3 linked regions of the Oryzias latipes genome follow. Each later gene encodes a partner of the first gene's protein in a complex. Links are inferred from orthologs where the notes say so. Each region holds a gene or a part of one and is shown in the gene's direction. Other genes may lie near its edges.

Evidence for each region.
Region 2: the proteins of timm10 (region 1) and timm22 are in contact, whole or in part, in a cryo-EM structure (PDB 7CGP), measured with the Homo sapiens proteins. The link is inferred for Oryzias latipes from reciprocal best matches to the Homo sapiens genes TIMM10 and TIMM22. Residues at the interface, in NP_036588.1 of Homo sapiens: Pro3, Ala6, Gln7, Leu9, Ala10, Ala11, Leu13, Glu14, Val15, Met17, Met18, Ala19, Tyr22, Ser44, Lys45, Gly46, Glu47, Arg53, His62, Glu63, Gly66, Leu69, Thr70, Ser73, Met74; in NP_037469.2 of Homo sapiens: Tyr25, Ser26, Leu28, Leu29, Gln30, Tyr31, Leu32, Val33, Arg40, Leu42, Leu47, Gly48, Glu67, Glu144, Ser145, Tyr146, Gly148, Ser150.
Region 3: the proteins of timm10 (region 1) and agk are in contact, whole or in part, in a cryo-EM structure (PDB 7CGP), measured with the Homo sapiens proteins. The link is inferred for Oryzias latipes from reciprocal best matches to the Homo sapiens genes TIMM10 and AGK. Residues at the interface, in NP_036588.1 of Homo sapiens: Glu40, Glu42, Leu43, Ser44, Lys45, Gly46, Ser48, Arg53; in NP_060708.1 of Homo sapiens: Phe49, Gly50, Asn51, Gln52, Leu53, Ile54, Pro55, Pro56, Val60, Ser91, Gly92, Met93, Asp94, Val95.

What each region holds. Positions count from the first base shown.
Region 1 is NC_019859.2:27,361,378-27,367,179, reverse strand, and holds the start of timm10 (mitochondrial import inner membrane translocase subunit Tim10), read left to right. Parts: upstream 1-2,234; 5' UTR 2,235-2,352; coding exon 2,353-2,423; intron 2,424-5,802. Other genes in the region: uncharacterized protein LOC101170325, read left to right, coding at 527-837.
Region 2 is NC_019872.2:20,333,690-20,339,450, reverse strand, and holds the end of timm22 (mitochondrial import inner membrane translocase subunit Tim22), read left to right. Parts: intron 1-4,008; coding exon 4,009-4,081; intron 4,082-4,162; coding exon 4,163-4,239; 3' UTR 4,240-4,625; downstream 4,626-5,761. UniProt on the Homo sapiens protein: Essential core component of the TIM22 complex, a complex that mediates the import and insertion of multi-pass transmembrane proteins into the mitochondrial inner membrane. In the TIM22 complex, it constitutes the voltage-activated and signal-gated channel.
Region 3 is NC_019864.2:29,313,500-29,319,152, reverse strand, and holds the start of agk (acylglycerol kinase, mitochondrial), read left to right. Parts: upstream 1-2,363; 5' UTR 2,364-2,569; coding exon 2,570-2,679; intron 2,680-2,767; coding exon 2,768-2,807; intron 2,808-2,882; coding exon 2,883-2,962; intron 2,963-3,045; coding exon 3,046-3,121; intron 3,122-3,214; coding exon 3,215-3,340; intron 3,341-3,424; coding exon 3,425-3,519; intron 3,520-3,595; coding exon 3,596-3,665; intron 3,666-3,801; coding exon 3,802-3,881; intron 3,882-3,960; coding exon 3,961-4,018; intron 4,019-4,651; coding exon 4,652-4,799; intron 4,800-4,878; coding exon 4,879-4,976; intron 4,977-5,045; coding exon 5,046-5,116; intron 5,117-5,211; coding exon 5,212-5,296; intron 5,297-5,374; coding exon 5,375-5,509; 3' UTR 5,510-5,653. Other genes in the region: nuclear pore complex protein Nup205, read right to left, coding at 1-87, 1,957-1,984. UniProt on the Homo sapiens protein: Lipid kinase that can phosphorylate both monoacylglycerol and diacylglycerol to form lysophosphatidic acid (LPA) and phosphatidic acid (PA), respectively. Does not phosphorylate sphingosine. Phosphorylates ceramide.

The sequences.
Region 1 (5,802 bases):
TCTGTTTTACATTAAGCGTCATCTAATGTCTGGGAATGAAATTGCATGTTCACTCGGCTCATCATCAGCGAAAATCGCCAGGGTGTGAACACAAAAAAACGTGTTGAAAAACGCTGGCGAATAACGCCTGGCGAATATTTGTCCCGGTGTGTACGGGCCTTAAGCCAAAATCAAAAAGCCTGTGTTGTGTTTTAGGAGTGCCAGTAGTGTTCATTAGAAAATCATTGGTGCTGCAATTCTCTCTTTTTTTTAGCAGTTATCAGTGAGTTAATCAATATGCCGAAGTATTTATGTCGGTGATGGAAAAAGTTTGGGATAAGATGATACAACTCATTCTGGTCAAATGTTGGGATTTTCTTAGCGTGGGGTGAAAACCCCAAAATGCTTGTCCTCTCAGTGATGAGCTTGGCTGGTCTGCTGAACCTGAGAGGTGGATGCTGGGATGTTGTCATTATTTTATTAATGTGTCTCTAAATATTTTTCCTATCTGGTAGTTCTGTGTTTTTTTAAATTAACATCTTTACAGGAGGGGTCTGTTGTGGTGGAGATTTCAAAGGAGACCAGCCGGTCTCCACTGATGGACGTGCGTCTTACTGCTCGTCTCTCCAGTCCAACGTGTCCGTGGACCACAACTCTCAGCCTCAAACCCCCCAGAGAACTGTGCTGCTGGTTGATCAAAGAGAGGAGGACGACGAGGAGGAGGAAGATATCGATGTTGTGCTATATTCTCCAGACAACGGGGCTCCTCGTGGAGCTGTACTCAATAGCATGGTCGTAACCGTAGATGAAGAAGAGGAAGATGTGAATGAGATTGATGTGACTGGAGATGAGGCCTAGGAGCATTCTCAGATCTGTGTGCCATGTGTCGTTGATTTCTTTTTAGGTTGGGTTTTCTGCAAGCTCTTTCGAAGCAAAACATGTCACCTCGTTCTGTTCCAAACACACCGTTCAAACTGACGTGTCAGTTTCTGTAGTTTACTAAAGGAAGCCTGTTCTGACTGTTGTTTTTCTTTTTTTATCTATAGGTTTGACATTTCACTAAAATTTTCAGTTGTTTTCGGTTGAGCTGCTGGAAGTAAATGTGCATTGTGGAGTCCGCTCTTTGTTTTGATGCTGAATTTAAAAAAAACATGGCATATTTTATGTACAGTTTATTAAAAAAAGAAAAAGTCAGTTTTCATGGTTGTGCTTTTTTTTCTAGCACAGAAGTTGTGGAGGTTGGTCCTGGTTTGAATTCTGGCTGGTTTCTTTCTGAGTGGAGATTGTGTGTCCTCTTGGTTCATGCGTGGGTCTTCTCTGGTCTTCTCTGACTTCCTCTCACAGTCCAAAAGCTTCAGGATTGCTTTCTTGGATTGTCCTTTGAGTGCGAGTGTATGTTTGTCTGTGTGGTTGTGTTCTTCAGTGGACTGGTGTGCTGTCCCGGGTGTTCCCTGCCTTTGCCCTTTGTTAATGCTGCAGTCACATGCACCCGTGCGGGGGCTCACCCGATGGGGTGCTGCAAGTGTTAGGGTTGTCGGTGCCCATGGGGGGGCAGAGAGAGGAGCAGCCACATCTTACAGGGAGCTCAGGTTTGTCTTGCAATTCACTTGAGGCTCCTACAGGCACCTAAAGGGATGTTATGATTATGAAAATGGAAGGTACCATTGTTGTGTGTGGGGAAATGGTAAGTTATTTGTAAGAATAATGCAAGTAAAGTGCAGTTATGGTCTCATGCTGTGCCTTAATGTCGCTCTCTAGTCTGAGGTGCACGCACCGGCTCCTTACTGACTGCACAGAAGTGCTGCACACACGGGAGATGTACGAAAAGCATCAGTTCTTCGTAGGACGTCAACACAAACTAAGCTGTATCATTTCCTCATTTCTAACAGGCTTCATGCCTGGAGCACATTTATCACCTGAACAGCACTAGCAGGCCCCATGCACACGGTTCAGGGGCTTGAAAAAATGACATCCTCTCCACCTGTACTTTTGTTTGAACATTTGCTAATAGCATCAGGAAATGTATCAAGTAGAATTTGGAATTTAGCTTATTTTCATAATCAGCAAAACTAAACAGGATGTTGTCCATGTAAAAATGAAAAGGGAATTAATTTGAATCCTAAAAGTTGACTTTGCTCCTAAGTCCAGTTCTCATGTCCGGTCAAAGCTCTGTAGTACAGATATGATCCACAGGGGGGCGCGCTGATTTAGACTCGACCTTTTTAAAGTAAACTTTATTTATACCGGAAGTCAGACGCGACATCACACGTGTGTTAGGATTTGAAGGTGACAGTAGCATCGCGGCTTGCTGTTATCCAGCTGGAGAGGGTCACCGGCGCTGGGCTCGGTTGTGAAACGACACGGAGGGCGAGAATGGATCCTGTGAAAGCGCAGCAGCTGGCGGCGGAGCTGGAGGTGGAGATGATGGCGGACATGTACAACCGGTAGGTCTTCATCTCTGTGTACCGTCATATGACATGCATGCGGACACACACTCTGCAGCACCATCATCCATTCCCGACCACCATCCATGGCCGTGTTAAAGAGGGTCTTCAGCGCCAGAGACAAACAGCCTGATCCATTTAGGCCTTTGCTTGACATCATGAGACGGACACAACAATGAATGGGATTTTTTCAGCACAGCTTCGCCATAATCTACAGCCATACGGAACCCTGAATATCTTTTTTTAAGTCACCTCATTCTGATCGTCTGTGGCCAGGAGTTAGTATTCTGTATTCTCACATTCGCATTTTGTGCATACATATTGACATGTTGTAGCCTCACATTATAGGAATTAAAGTTTTTATTATATAAGCTGTGCACACAACACAAAAAAGCAGTGTGCACATAATATTTGTTTTTGCACACAAAATGCTACTAAAATGTTGGCCACAATCGAATCTATACAGATTTATAAATGTATTTCTTGTTTATGTCATGCCCAGGGCTTCTAATGGCTGCTTTTTTCCATTAATGTCACCCTAAGGGACCTGCGTGACTTCCTCTGACCTGAAAACATGCCGGTAATTTAGTGCTGACCAAAGCAAAGGCAGCGCTGTTGTTCTGTGTCTACTGATGTTTGCAGCTGGACCTCCTGGGAGCAGAGGAGGCTCCTCATTCATTCCCAGCAGATGCATTTCACTTTCTTTAACCCACTTATTTATATTTTAACTTTATTAACTAATAATGCACATACAAAATACCAAACACAAAACTCCACCACACAGTGTGCAAAATACCATTTTCACATTCACCAGGAAAATGAACAAAAAAATTGAAAAACGATAATAATGATGATGTAAAACAGGTTAAGCAAAAATAATAAAGGCAAAGGAATCTGTTTTTTTCAGAAGAGACCATGTTTCAACTGTAATGACAGCTTTTTTGTTATACTGTTTACACACAGTGCCATTTCTTTCTGGAAAACATAAAATACCGTTTTTTTTTGTTGTCATATTTACACTTGTGTATAAAGTATTTAGCCATAATTATAAGTAAATTAACTACATATATTTTCTCTGCATCAAGTTTCCCTATGTGTAAAATGTCCAAAAATAATATGGTATCATAAAATAATCTATAATCTTCACATAGATTTTAAAATCTATCAAATCTTTCCAAAATACTTGAGTGAAGGAGCAAACCCAAAAAAGATGAGACACAGTTTCTGGTGAGGAATGACAAAATGAACAATTTATTTTCAGATTTCTTTTTTTTAAACTTGGTAATGAAGTGTTTCACTGGATAAGATTTATGAAGAATTTCGAAAGATATTTCTCTGATTTTCTCTGATTTTCTTGGTGATGACATACTTTTGGGGCAGGGACCAAACCTTTTCCCCCTGAATTCTACAGCCAAACCTATTCCAGTGTGAGATAACATACGGTTTTGTTGTAATCTCATTTTGAAACAGAGAACGGATACTTTGATTATTCCTGCCAGCTGAAAAACAAATCTTTCCACACCACAATTCTGTTCATTTGGGAGGAGAACATGGAGTATTTGAAGGAGAACTGCTCCACAGAAGTCTAACAGCACCTGGGATGGCTCCAGTAACCAATGCAAGCTCTGCAGGGGAGACATGCAGACTATAGGTGGACAGAAACTCAACAGATGACATCAGGTTACATGGTGGATTTACAAGAAAAATGTTCTTTTCAAACCAATTTTCAAGAAAAATCCTCTTGTTTTTGTATAGAATATCTGCATTATTCCAAATATAGTAGCGATGAGGAGAAACATTATGTTTGTAGATCAAAGTCCATGCCAATAAAACCTGCTTATGAAAATTAGACAGCTTCAAAGGAATTTTCCCTATTTTGAAATAACATAATAGAAGAAATGACAGACCTCCAAACTTATCAAATATATATTTCGGTATGAAATTCCAAAATGAAGTTTTTTAACTATTTAATTTTGAGGACATTATTTAGAGTGGAAAAGTCAAGAAATTCAAGTTCTCCGTCTTTTGATGAATTAATTACTACTGACTTTCGAACATAGTGGATTCTGTTTCTCCAAAGACAATTAAAAAGTATCTGATCAATCCTTTTTGCATTTTTACTGTCCAGAGATGGTGAGGAAGCAATGTAAACTAGTCTGGAAATCCCTTCTGCTTTTGCTAAGAGAGCACAACCTTTTGGTGAAAGATCTCTTTGTAGCCAGCAGTTAAACTGATTTTGTGCTTTTGCAATCATAGAATATAGTTATTCAGTTCTCTTTGTTTTTGATCTTTAGTTATCTGCAATCCCAAATATGTGACATTTTCTTTGACTACTATACTATTTATGGATGTTAGAGCACATTGAGAGGAAATAACTCACATTTCTTTAGGTTTAGATAAAGTCCAGATGCTTTTGAAAATGTATCTATAACTTGAAGAACCCTGGCAACCTGTGAGGAGTTTTTCAAGAATAATGTGGTGTCATCTGCCAGCTGACTTATAAGAATGTTTTTACCAGCAAGAGAAATCCCATTAATATTATTCGATTGAATATGTCTGCAGAAAACTTGTGCAACCAGAAGAAACAGGTACACAGAGACAGGACGTCCCTGTCTAATTCCTCTCTGGAGACAGAATCTGCGAGTGGTGCCAGAACTCAACTTAACAGAACTATTTCCGTTTGCGTAGAGGCTTTTAACAGCACTAGACAAATATCCCCAAAAATCCCCAAAACCAATCTTTTCCAGACAGTAGAATAGAAAAGGATGCTCAACGGTATCAAATGCCTTACAAAAATCAAGGAGCAGAGTGAAGCTTTCATCATCACTGATGAGTCTGAATAATCTATGAGATTGTTGGAGATGCATCTGTCTTTCATGAAACCTGACTGATTCTCATCTACTACTGCATCAACAACACTTTTCATTCTCATTGTGGCAACAATTTTATAACCATTATTAAGTAGACTAATAGGTCTCCAGTTATCTATTAGCAAAGTATCTTTGTTGGGTTTGGGGATCAGGGAAATAACCCCCTGAGTCATGCTGGCTGGAAGAGTCATATTTGTGATCCTTTCTGTGTAAACATTCAATAAAAATGGGGTTAAGATTTTTGAGAAAAGCTTATAAAATTCTGCTGTTATTCCGTCGTTCCCAGGGGACTTGTTGTTTTTCAGATTGTTATTAGCATCTGAAGCTTCCTGTAAAGAAATGACAGAATCACAAGCCAATTTATCCTCTTCACTGACTTTATTTATGTTATTCAAGGAATCACAAAATGAAATCATTGCTTCCTGACTAAATGTTGTCTTTTAAAGTAATAATCATGACAAAAACTAGAAATAAGCTTTTTATTTGTAATGTTTGCATCTATATTTAAC
Region 2 (5,761 bases), on another chromosome or scaffold:
TTTTTTTCCAACTTTCGGTTTTGCTCTGCACCCCAAGAGAGGCTGCCATCGCCGCAACTCAACTTTGGTTTTCGCTGAATTTGGATGATCTTGAATCCAACCGATAGCAATGAAGTAAATCCAAACATGGGTAATGCTGCTGCAGCTGCACTTTTCTTCTGCACACTGACTGTGTGGGTTCAGTTTAAAGTCACAGAGGAACAAGAGAGCCAAAGCAAACTCCAGACGGATCTGTTCTGTTCATGTTTTTAGTGGGAAATATCCAGCTCCTGTAAACAGACCCATTAGTCTCCAGTGTTCTGAAGTCCAAACCCACTCAACCAGGATGGAACCACAACTTCAAGGGTTAAAAAAAAAAAAAGTACAGCACACTGTGCAACAACACAAAACAGAACAGGACAATTATGACGTTGTCGTTGGACTGACAATGACCGTTTTTAGCTGATTATTAGTTATCAGACAAGCAATATTTGGTGTAGCTAACGTTTTAAACATATTTGTTGTCTTTTTAAGTTTCCTTTCATCCATTTAAATCAAAAGAACAAGTATTTATCCTTTAAAAACACAGCTAAGCTATTTAGTGCACTAGTATTCTGACAGATTCTGTTTCATAGGATTAAAGTAGTTCAGATTCAAAGCTCTAGAAAGTCTTAAAGTCTAGAATTTCTTGTCAAATCTTCTCCTTTCCTTCTTTTCCTGAATTGTTGTTTTCCAGCTCCTTGTTTGGGGGGTCGACAGCATCAGGGCAGGCTTTGTGTACGGCATTGATGGGTTTTTTAACAGCAAACCCAGGAAACGTCCCATCCCAGAGTTTTAATTTGCACCCAACCAAACTATTGGGAAGTTTCTGTGCGCTTCACCTGGTAGACGAGTGTATAGGTTAAAGCCCAAACAAAATCAGGCAGAAAGGAGAGGCATTCCTGCAAACTCACAAAAGTGAACATTTACTGGAAGGTTTTTGCTCTGAAGCCTCATCATCAGGTAAAAGGACCTAAATGAGGAGCAGATGACCTCTGAAGGGTCATGCAGACCATAAATGAATGCAGCCACATCAACAAATATCTACAGTGTTCATACTATAAAAACAATATTGAAATATGAAATAAACGAAACAAGGGTAAATGACGAGCCCTTTTCAATGGGGATAGCATGAAAAGTAGAGGACGAAGCAATTTGCACTTGTATGATACAAACACGTGAGAATTGTACTCTAAATATATTCTAAACAAACACACATGTTAATATAAAACATGTCATTAAATGTATAAAAATCAATTATAATTTCATTTTTTTTATCATTTTTAACATGTTTTCCTTTAACTGCATGTATGGAGTCTGGTTTTAGGTCACATGACATATGATACTTTAGTTAAAAATAAGAAAAATACTCTGGCAGCAGGTATGTGCCGATTTATCAGTCTGGCTTAAGGTTTCAATCACGGCTTCACCGTCACTTTGTGTGCTTGGTGACATGAGTGCCATCGATATAGAAGAAGGATTAGCATCTATCATTTTCACAACTCTTTGTATTGCCAAAAAAACTATTTTAATAAATTGGAAAAACAAGAAAAATATAAACATAAGTCAACAGAGAAATCTGCTGTTTGATCATATCAGCTTGGAAAAAATGTCAGCCCAAAGCTCAAGTAACTTTGAAAGAATTCGGTCTCTCTGGTCTCCTATGGTTGACTCCATGACTTAAGGGGTGGGGGGCTTGGTTGTCGCTGCTCCTTGCCCTTCTGCCGTGGTTTGGGGTGGGGGTCGGGGCCTCCGGTGCCTGGCGGGGGCGGTGGGGGCTCCGTTGGTCGGGGGGTCGGGTCCGGTGCCTGGGTGGGGCGGGCTGGGGCGCTGCGTGGTCCTCTGGGCTTGGGTGTGCGTGGTGGGGGGTGGGGTGGTGGTCTGGCTTGGCTTGGGGGGGTGGTCCCTTTGCCTGCGCTGGGGGGGGTTGGCGGGGGCCCTGCTCGGGGGGGGGGGGGGGTGCCAGCGGCGCCGGACGGGCTGCCCATCTGCACCTGGGGCTGGGATCGGCCCTTCCCTGGCTCTGGGGCGGGACGGGACAACCCTCTCGGGGCCCCCGGTCGCTCTGGGTGTCATCCGCTTCGGCTGCGGGGTCTGGGGTGGGGTGGGGGGCTTGTCGGCCCTGTCCTGTGGGGGGGCGTTCTGGGGGGGAGGGGGGGCCATTATTGGTACGGGTCGGGGGGGCTAACGGGTCGGGGTCTCCGCTGAGGCAATCAGTGGTTGCCTCGGCCGGTTGGCCTCCTCGGTCCCGTCAAGGCCTGACCAGAGCTCCTCTAGGGCCGGCGTCTGGGGGTGGGGGCCTGGGCTTGCTCCGGGGGGGCGGCGCTCTCTGGCTCCTCTCTCTCTGTGTGGGGTGGGTGGTGCCGGGCCTGGGGTGTCTGCGCCTCCGGGAGTGGGGCCCCTGGGCTGGGTGGCCCTGGCCTCTTTGCTGGGGGACAGCTGTTTGACAGTCTACCAGCTGTCCCCAACTTACCCCCTTCCTCATATAACCTCATATTAGGGTGAGGGGGTGGGGGGGTCTAGCCTGCGATGCACCTTGGGGGGGGGCTACTTGGCAGTGGCCCCCCTCCTATGGTTGCCGTATGGAGTGGGCCCCCCCTCTTTCGGTTTTATTTGCACCTTAGACATGAAGGGTCCTTGGTAGGGGGGGTGCTTGGACATCACTGCAAGCAAGCAGCAGACGTCCTCCTGGCACCCTACCCGCTAATTTTAACCGCACCTTAGACATTTAGGGCCCCTTGGTGGGGAGGGTGAGGGGACATCATTGTGAGTAATCAGGAGATGTCCCCCTAGTGCCCTACTCGCCAATTTTAACTGCACCCTCCTTAGTACACACACCCCTCCCCCTTCAATATATACATTCCAACATAAACACACACACATACACACACACACCCTCTCATACACACATACACGCACACACATTTTGCAAGGAAGGTGGGACCTGGGTCCATCTGTCCCCTACCCCTTCCCTGGTGGGGGGTGCGTGCCCCTTGGCGATGGCGGCCGTGTCCCTTGGGTGTCTGGGGCTGTGGGCGTCCTTCTCCGGTGGGGCCCTGCGTTGGGCTCTTCCGGCGCGGCGGGGGGGCTGCTTTCCTGGCTGGGCTGGGGCGGCGCTCTCTTTCCCTCCGCGCCTCCCTGCTCTCTGGCTCTGGGGGCCTCGCGGCGGTCCTGCTGGCCCTGGCCTGGGTGGCGGTCTTGGTCGCCCGGGGGGCGGTCGTTCCCTGCCTGTTCCCGTGTGGCGTTGGGGGAATTCCGGCTGCCGCCGCTGCTGCGGCGGGGGTCTGGGTGTGGGGGTGGCTGGGCGCTCCTCCTCCTTCTTTTCACATTCCACCATCCATTTTAGAAGAACATAAACACTCACCTGAGCACAGGTGTTAGCTCACTTTGCACTTATAGTTTGCGTGATTGAATGAATGAAAGATTTCACACTAGTTGGTTTAAAGACATAGGTATGCGTTCGTGAACACTATCTGTTTTGTGTACATGTTGACATGTGAACATTTTTTGCAGCTAGCAGGTGTGTTAAGAAAAAAAGAGAAAGAAGAGGAAAGAGAAGAAAAAAGAAGAAAAAAAAATAAAAATAGAATAGAATCAGCTGTTGCAGCTTTAGAAACACCAGACACTGTTTAACCCTTGTGCTATCTTAGGCACTTTAACATTGGGAGTTGGGTCATTCAGACCCCACTATACAGTGCGCCGAACTATTACATGAAATCGTTCCACCTTTATCCACCTTTGTCATGGTAGGGATAAGACGTCAATGGTCATCTTGATAGGATAGCACGAGGGTTACAATGTTGAAGGGATGTTTCTGTACAGAAAGTCCAACAGAGGTTTCAGAGCTCTTTGGTGCCCCCTGCTGGTTTACTCTGAATTTTCCTATTTTAACTTGTAAATAGTTTCTGACTTCTTTTATTTTTCTTTCTGACTTTGGCCTCAAATGAATATTGCATGAACTTTCCTGTTGCGCTTGTGTTTGGTTTGCAGCACAGGGGCAAATCCGACTGGAAGAACGCCGTTTACAGCGGCTGTGTAACCGGAGGTGTCATTGGATTTCGAGGTTTGCAGCTTGTTTTTTTTACTGACCTCTTTGTTCTGTTTTCCTCACTGATGTTAAGTTTTCGTTGTTTTGTTTTTGCAGCCGGGCTGAAGGCTGGAGTTCTTGGATGTGGAGGATTTGCTGCTTTCTCTGCTGCCATCGAATACTATTTACGCTGAGTCATGCTTTGGAAGATGAGGACTTCCCTGCTGCACATGCAGACGCTCACTGAGGACAGTGGGATTGAGACGTTGGGCCGCACCGACAGAAATGAGACTTCTAGTTTCCTTTTATGTGGACTGAAGTGAGGCTTTCCATGTGCAACGGAGCATCCGACAGATTCATCTGGGGATCGGCCAGCAGCGTGTCTGGATGGAGACAAACGTTTCATTGTTTTCACATGGGAACTACAAATATATGTTCATAAACTATTTGTTTAAAAAAATTTTTTTTTTTTTTAAACCAAAGTCATCTATAAAGATGGAAAAAAAATGGAATTAAAACCTTACGGTTGGAAAAGCAGTTAAAAACATTTAATAAACATTAAAGTTGGTTTGCACTGGCTGTGCTGTACTTGCACAACAAACATACTTTTTCTAAAACATACATTTTTGTCAGGATAGGTCTGTGTGGTTACATGATTGCTGCTCTGTTTTTGCTGTGACCTCCTGAGGTTTTTGTCTTCTGGATCCTGACGCTCAGCTGATCCACCCCGGCTCCCAGAGGACGGATGTGGAGCATCGGTTCATCAAACCAGCGCTTCCCAACCCTGGTCCTCGGAGAACACTGTCCTGCACGTCTCTTTTGTTGTTCTTAACGTCACCTGATTCATTTCATTGTCAGCCTCATCAGAAGCCTGTAAATGACAGCAGGTGTGTTTGAACAGAAGAGGATTTCCCAAGAACCAGGTTTGGGAAACACTGGATTGAATGGTTCTATTGTATTTAATTAATAATAATACATTTTATTTAGAAAGAAATGCCCTTTACATTTTGAAAACAAAGAGTTAAATGTTGATTTCTATGTTTTGATAGTTAAAAGGTTTAAATTAAACTTGATTTCTCCGTTTTTAATGCTAAGTTTTTCTTATCTGCTCGAGGAAAACAATCAGTTGTTTAAACTCAAAGATGTTGAATGATCTTTTTAAAATTGCTGTATCAGATTCACCACCAGATGGCGCTCTAATCCACCCTGTGCAGAAAGATGCGTCCTCAAAAAGCTTTTAAAACATGGTGACCCAGTTAGAACCAAAAGATTTAGTGTTGTTCTTCATCACCACCACCATATTACTGAATAGAGTGATTTAGACAACACTACTCTCCATAAAAGTTTAAGAAGTGACAGAATTGAATTGTTCCAGTCAACTTTGTTGAGCATCCCCGTTTCTAAAGATCCAGTTTCAAAACTTAACATTTTTAAGTAAATGAAAAAAATAATTGACCTATTAGACTTAAATAGCCAAATGTTAAGTTTCAGAAAATGCACCTGAACATGATTTCTTTAAAATAGAATTTGAGGAAAAGAAGAAGGTGGTATGGATGCTGTTTAACCCTTTTGCTATCCTAGGCACTTTAACGTTGGGAGTGGGGTCATCTAGACCCACTAGACGGTGCTCTGAACCTTTTTTCTTCAATGATTTGTGATCTTCACTGGTGTCCATGGATTACATGAAATCTTTCCACCTTTGTCACGGTAGCAATG
Region 3 (5,653 bases), on another chromosome or scaffold:
ACAGGTGGACACTCTCCGTCTGTCTCCTCAGGATAGCTCCATCTACAGTCTCCCAGAGCTCTTTGAGTGGCCCCCACAGACTGGCTCCTGAAGGGGTCAAAAGGACGTTTACACAGATATTTTCACAATTATTTTTCACTCTACTGACGAGATGTTTGAGTTCTCTCCATATCAACACCCTCCTAAACTGTCACCCCCACAAACTAAGATGCAGGAACAACCCAGATTGAGCAGGAATAATGTCCACGTTTGGGCTTCATTTGCTTGATATGGTGGTCAGAAGAAAAAAAAAAGTCTTGATATTTAGTCAAAAAATAAAGGACAAAACAAATCAAAGTAATTCCAAATCATAAATTTTAAAGCACTTTGAGTTCCGCAATGTATGAGAAGCGCTTTTTAATAAATACAGTTTGATTTGATTTCCATCCAATTTAATCCTGATTATGTTGAAAAAAGTCTATTTGTCCTGTTAGAATTTTAATGGCAGCCTAAATGAGTGGCCAACACACACTATTTAAAGGGTTTCAACCGTGGAGAGGAAAGCCTGCTCTTAGGGGAAAAGTAGGCGGAAACCTCCAGCAGAGACAACCTCAGAAAATCCATCTTTTTCCTTTTACCTGCTCCCTTCAGAGATCATGACAGTAAATCTTCGTTAAAAAAAAAAAAAGGGATGAAAAAAAAAACCCAGAGGATCACAAAACCACAGCTAAGAACACGATTAAGATGGTAAAAAGTCGATCAATTCGATCAGGAAGTAAATGATCCGTTTCAGGTAAACTTTGTTTCTCTGATAAAGTTTGGCTTTATTCCAACTGGCCCCAGCAAGGCATGCCAGGTGTTTGCACTAAACATAGGATAAACCCTTTTTCCCCTTTAAATGATGCCTGAACAAATTAAAATGAGACACAGAAAAAAAAACAGTATAAAAGAATGTTTAAACTTGCTACATCAAAGACATTTAGATTTTTTCTCCCTTAAAATAAAATTCCCAGTTAGGGAAAAACCGTTTCTCTGTTAAAAGACATTTTAATTTACGGTTTTAAACGCCAAAAGCGTAAAATATATCTAGATTGTATCCATTTGGGTAAAAGTATTGGGCTGGACCATGTATTGAGAAGCGTATCAAATCATGTCAGAGAAAAAGATACACACCCCTAATGTAGGATTTAAAAAAACATAACAAGTTTAATAAAACAAACATCTTCCTGCCCAATCAGATTAATTTCATTCTTGAATCTCTCATTTTAACACAAACCTTACATACATGTCACGGTCTCAGACTTTTCTTTTTACAGAACATATAGGTCTTCAGAAAAAGCCACTTGCTTCTCAAAGCTTTAGTTTGAAGAGAAAATGACTAATTTTATCAACTATCTGCCCTGAATCTTTCAGTTTCCATAATGCAAGAGTCTTTATCTAATATTTAGAATTAATAATGAATGATCACTTGAATATTTATATATTTTGATGAGCAGAAAAACTGATAAACCTTTTTCAATGCATAGCAAGAGTTTAAACTTATTAGTTTAGAGATTATGAACATAACTAATTTGCCAGCATATTTTGGCATATAATCCATCCATGAGACGTTTATTTTCACATGAATACAAATTGAATTAAGTCGCAATATTGGACTGAATTTTTTAATTGATGGACTTTAATTATTGTCATTTTCTTATAACTTTAATTAACTGAACATTCCCGGTCGCCACAAGTCTGTCTTATGGCCTCGATCTGTCTTAACTTGACTAGAACCTGAGTCAAACTAGCTTCCTTTGGCCTGACATGATGATGAACGAAGCTAGGCTAAAGTAGCAAACAGTGCCATACTTGGAATGACTCAAACGGGTAAAAACGCGCTACAACAGAAACGCCGGACAAGGTTACACGAACCTACACCTAAATAATAATTAAAACAAACACATTTGTAATCAAAGGTTCAAAAAGAGTCTTTACCTAAATTTACCGCCATCTGCCCCGCCATGATCAGCTCAGGATCAAACCTGGACGTAAGATGCTGCGCATGTGCCCGTTTGAAATCTAACACGATAAATTGTTTAATCCAGAAGATATATTTTTAATTTGTTGATTATGTCACTCATCATTTAAAATTTATGTAATCAAACACATTTTTTTCCTGTAAAATATTCATTAAATATTTTAAAATAGGATTGTACTATTAGTGCAGGCGGGGTCCTCGGAAAGATTTGGGCAACCGTGCCCTGTGGGAGTTGTAGTATATAATGAAGTGTGTGAACACTACAATTTCAAAAATGAAATCAAGGAAAACATCTTACATATATTCATATTTTGTGAACTTGTATTGTTTAATTAATAGTTAATGGTAATATGCAAAAATAAGCTCATATTTTTTATTTAAAAAGCGACCGCTTTAGATGTGTAGATATTATTTCCGCCTTGTTTTAGACGGAACGATTGTATTGTTACACCACTCCTTCCACGCAGTGTGAGTTTTGACCGCTGTCACAAAAACACTTTAAATCGTCAGAATCTTTGCATTTTGAGTATGTGACAGAGGTAGACTGTTTTTTTGTGGGGATTAATAATCATGGCTCGGGTTGTAGAAGTATTTAAGACGATACGGAATCACTGGAAAAAGTCCACTTTAGCTGTGTGCGTCCTGTCCTATGGGGGGTATTGGTTGTATGGTAAACATTGGTGAGTTTTTATTTATCTTTGAAAATGTCATCCAAACTGGGTTCACGTGTGTAGCTCTTTCTTTATTCTGTGTTTTATGTGTTTCTAGCGACAGTCTCCTGCGCAGAGAAGCTTGTCAGTTGGCCAGGGTAAATGTGAACTAACTGTCCTTTTATTATTATTATTTCATGTGAGTATGCCTCTAATAATTATTGCTATTCTAGGAATTTGGACGGCAACAGATTGCCCCACAGGAGCAACTAAAGAAAGCAACTGTAATTTTAAATCCTGCAGCTTGCAGCGGGTAAGAAGACGTCAAAAATGCAAATCTGATTTCTTCCTTTCCCTCCTACTAATTATGCATTTATTTGTTATAATTTTCTCCAGGAAAGCCAACAAATTATTCGAAAAGAATGCAGCTCCAATTTTACACCTGGCCGGTGTGGAGATAAAAATAGTGAAGGTTTGATGGAATTTTGTAAACATGGCTTTGGTAGGTAGAAATCCTCAAATATCCCATCATGCCTTGCTGAATGTCATATCATGTCCTCCACAGACAGATTATGAAGGTCAGGCCAAAAAACTGATGGAGTTGTTGGAGCAGACAGACATGCTGATCGTGGCTGGAGGAGATGGCACCTTGCAGGAGGTCATCACAGGTTTGCTGAGAAGGCCGGATCAAGTATGCAAAACTAATAATGTAATTACATAAATGTTTTTAGGTTTATTTATAAGATGCAAACTGAGATATGTTTTCTGACTGCAGGATAGTTTTAGTAACGTCCCGATTGGGTACATTCCTCTGGGTTCTCACAATTCCCTGAGTCCGAGTCTTCATCTCCTCAGCGACAACAAAGTTAAGTAAGTTGAAAACAAAAATCTCTTTTTAAAATGTTTAAAATGAACTTGTATTTGATGTGATAAACATACTTTTTAGGGACATTACTTCAGCCACACTGTCGATTCTGAGAGGAGAAACTGTACCTCTGGATGTGCTGCAAATCAAAGTAATAAAATATTTTTTTTTCCTGTTAAAAACATGTACATTTTAATGCATAAGTTACTTTTTAGCATTCATATTTCCTACAAAAAACCCCTGTGAGTTTACGCTGCAGTGCTGACGTGTGTGTGTTTTTTTTGTAGGGAGAGACAGATCAGCCCGTCTTTGCTCTGATGGGTCTGCGTTGGGGGGCTTTCAGGGACGTGGCCGCCACAATCAGCAAGTATGGTTGTTTGGGCTGTAACCATGGTTACGCGATTGATCGTGCATACGAATAAATGGATTAATGCACTTTCAAACAGATACTGGTACCTCGGACCATTGAAGACAAACGCAGCGCACTGGTTTCAAACTCTGAAGGTACATTTTCTTCACATAAAACCTTTTTTTTTCACTAAGAAAGGAGTATTCCTTATTCTGTGTTTCCAACAAATAGAATTGTGAAATAACACGGAGGAAAGAGTAAAAATAAAAATACAAACTGGAATTTTGGAAATTCTAAAACGAGAAGCTTAATGGGAAAATGTAAAAAAACATTCATGAATTAATGATGCTGTTTTGGTACCTTGATGCTTCTTTTCCTTTAATTATTTTGTGTCTATGTGAATAATTATTCAGTGTTTAACATGTAAAAATGTATCAAATATAAGAATATGGTGGGAATTATTACGATTTCTCCTCTACCCACTCCTTTTTGTTTGTCTGTTTATCCTGATATTTTACTATTGGGTGTTTGAAAATAAAAGGAAATGAATCAATTATGATTTCATGAACAGTCTCTGACATTTTGGTCATTAAACGTAACAAATATCAGAGAAATGTTTCTGTTCTTGCTCTGAGCCCAGCGGCTCAGTTTGTTCAAGGCGGACAAACAAAGGATTGTGTGACACTTAAAAAAACAACATAAACAGTACAAACAGACACCGTTCTATGTCACTGCAGTGTGATGCCGTTTCGTTTACACCTGCTTTTTTCTTTTTTGCCTTTTCGCAGGAGTGGCCCCTGGTCCGACAACTTTCAATTTCATACCTGGCTCCCAGTCTCCGACCCCCCGATCTGCCCCCTCAGAAACCCCCCAGGCCCAACCTGCTCCGCCGCATTGTGCGCCGACTAAAAAGCTACTGGAACCCCCCGGTTAAAGGTGAGCTTGTGTGATTGTGTTGCAGAAGATCACACAGTAATGTCGTATTTATTTGTGTTCTGCCGGCTCATCTGCTCAGAGCCTCCTAAAGTGGAGGTGGCGGAGAAGTGGGAGGAGCAACAGCTGGCCACGGTGGAGCTGTACGTTCAAACGCACAACAAGAACCCGGTGGAGAGGGTGGGTGTGACTTTGAATCACTGCTAAGATCGCCCCTCGCACGTTAAAATTGGTTGTTTTGCGTTGCAGCGCCTCCATGACTCCATGGTGATCCGGGCAGAGCCCGACAGCTTCACCGTGGGGGAGTTCATCAGCGTGGGGTTAGGAACTTCCTCTTTTATCAGTCAGCTGCGTTCAAAGCGTCCACTAAAGTGTTTTTAAAAGTTTCTGTTTGCATCGATTTGTCATTGTAAAGGAGCAAAAAAGAGGCGGATCCGACAGCTTTCACACAAAATTCGACCAAACTGGAGGCCGGAGCCTGCCAGCTCAAACTACCAGAGGTGGGAGATTTCAGAAAAATGCTTTCTTCTCTCAGCTCTTTCTCCTTGATGTGAATGTTTGTGCGTAAACCCCTGCAGGGCGTCTCTGGCTTCTTCAACATCGACAACGAGGAGTACGAAGCCATGCCTGTGGAGGTCAGGCTGTTGCCCAGGAAACTGCGTTTTTTCATCAGCGCGGAGCGCCGGGAGCAGCTCCTCTCACAGCCACAGTGACGAGGATGAAAAGCCTCCGAAGAGCAGCGACAGCAGCCGGAGCGGAGAGGAGAAACAACACCAGAACTGCCTGAAAATGGACCTTTTACGTCTGTCTGGATGAAAAAAAGAGTGAAGCATGTCAACTTAAACTGTATTGTTTTT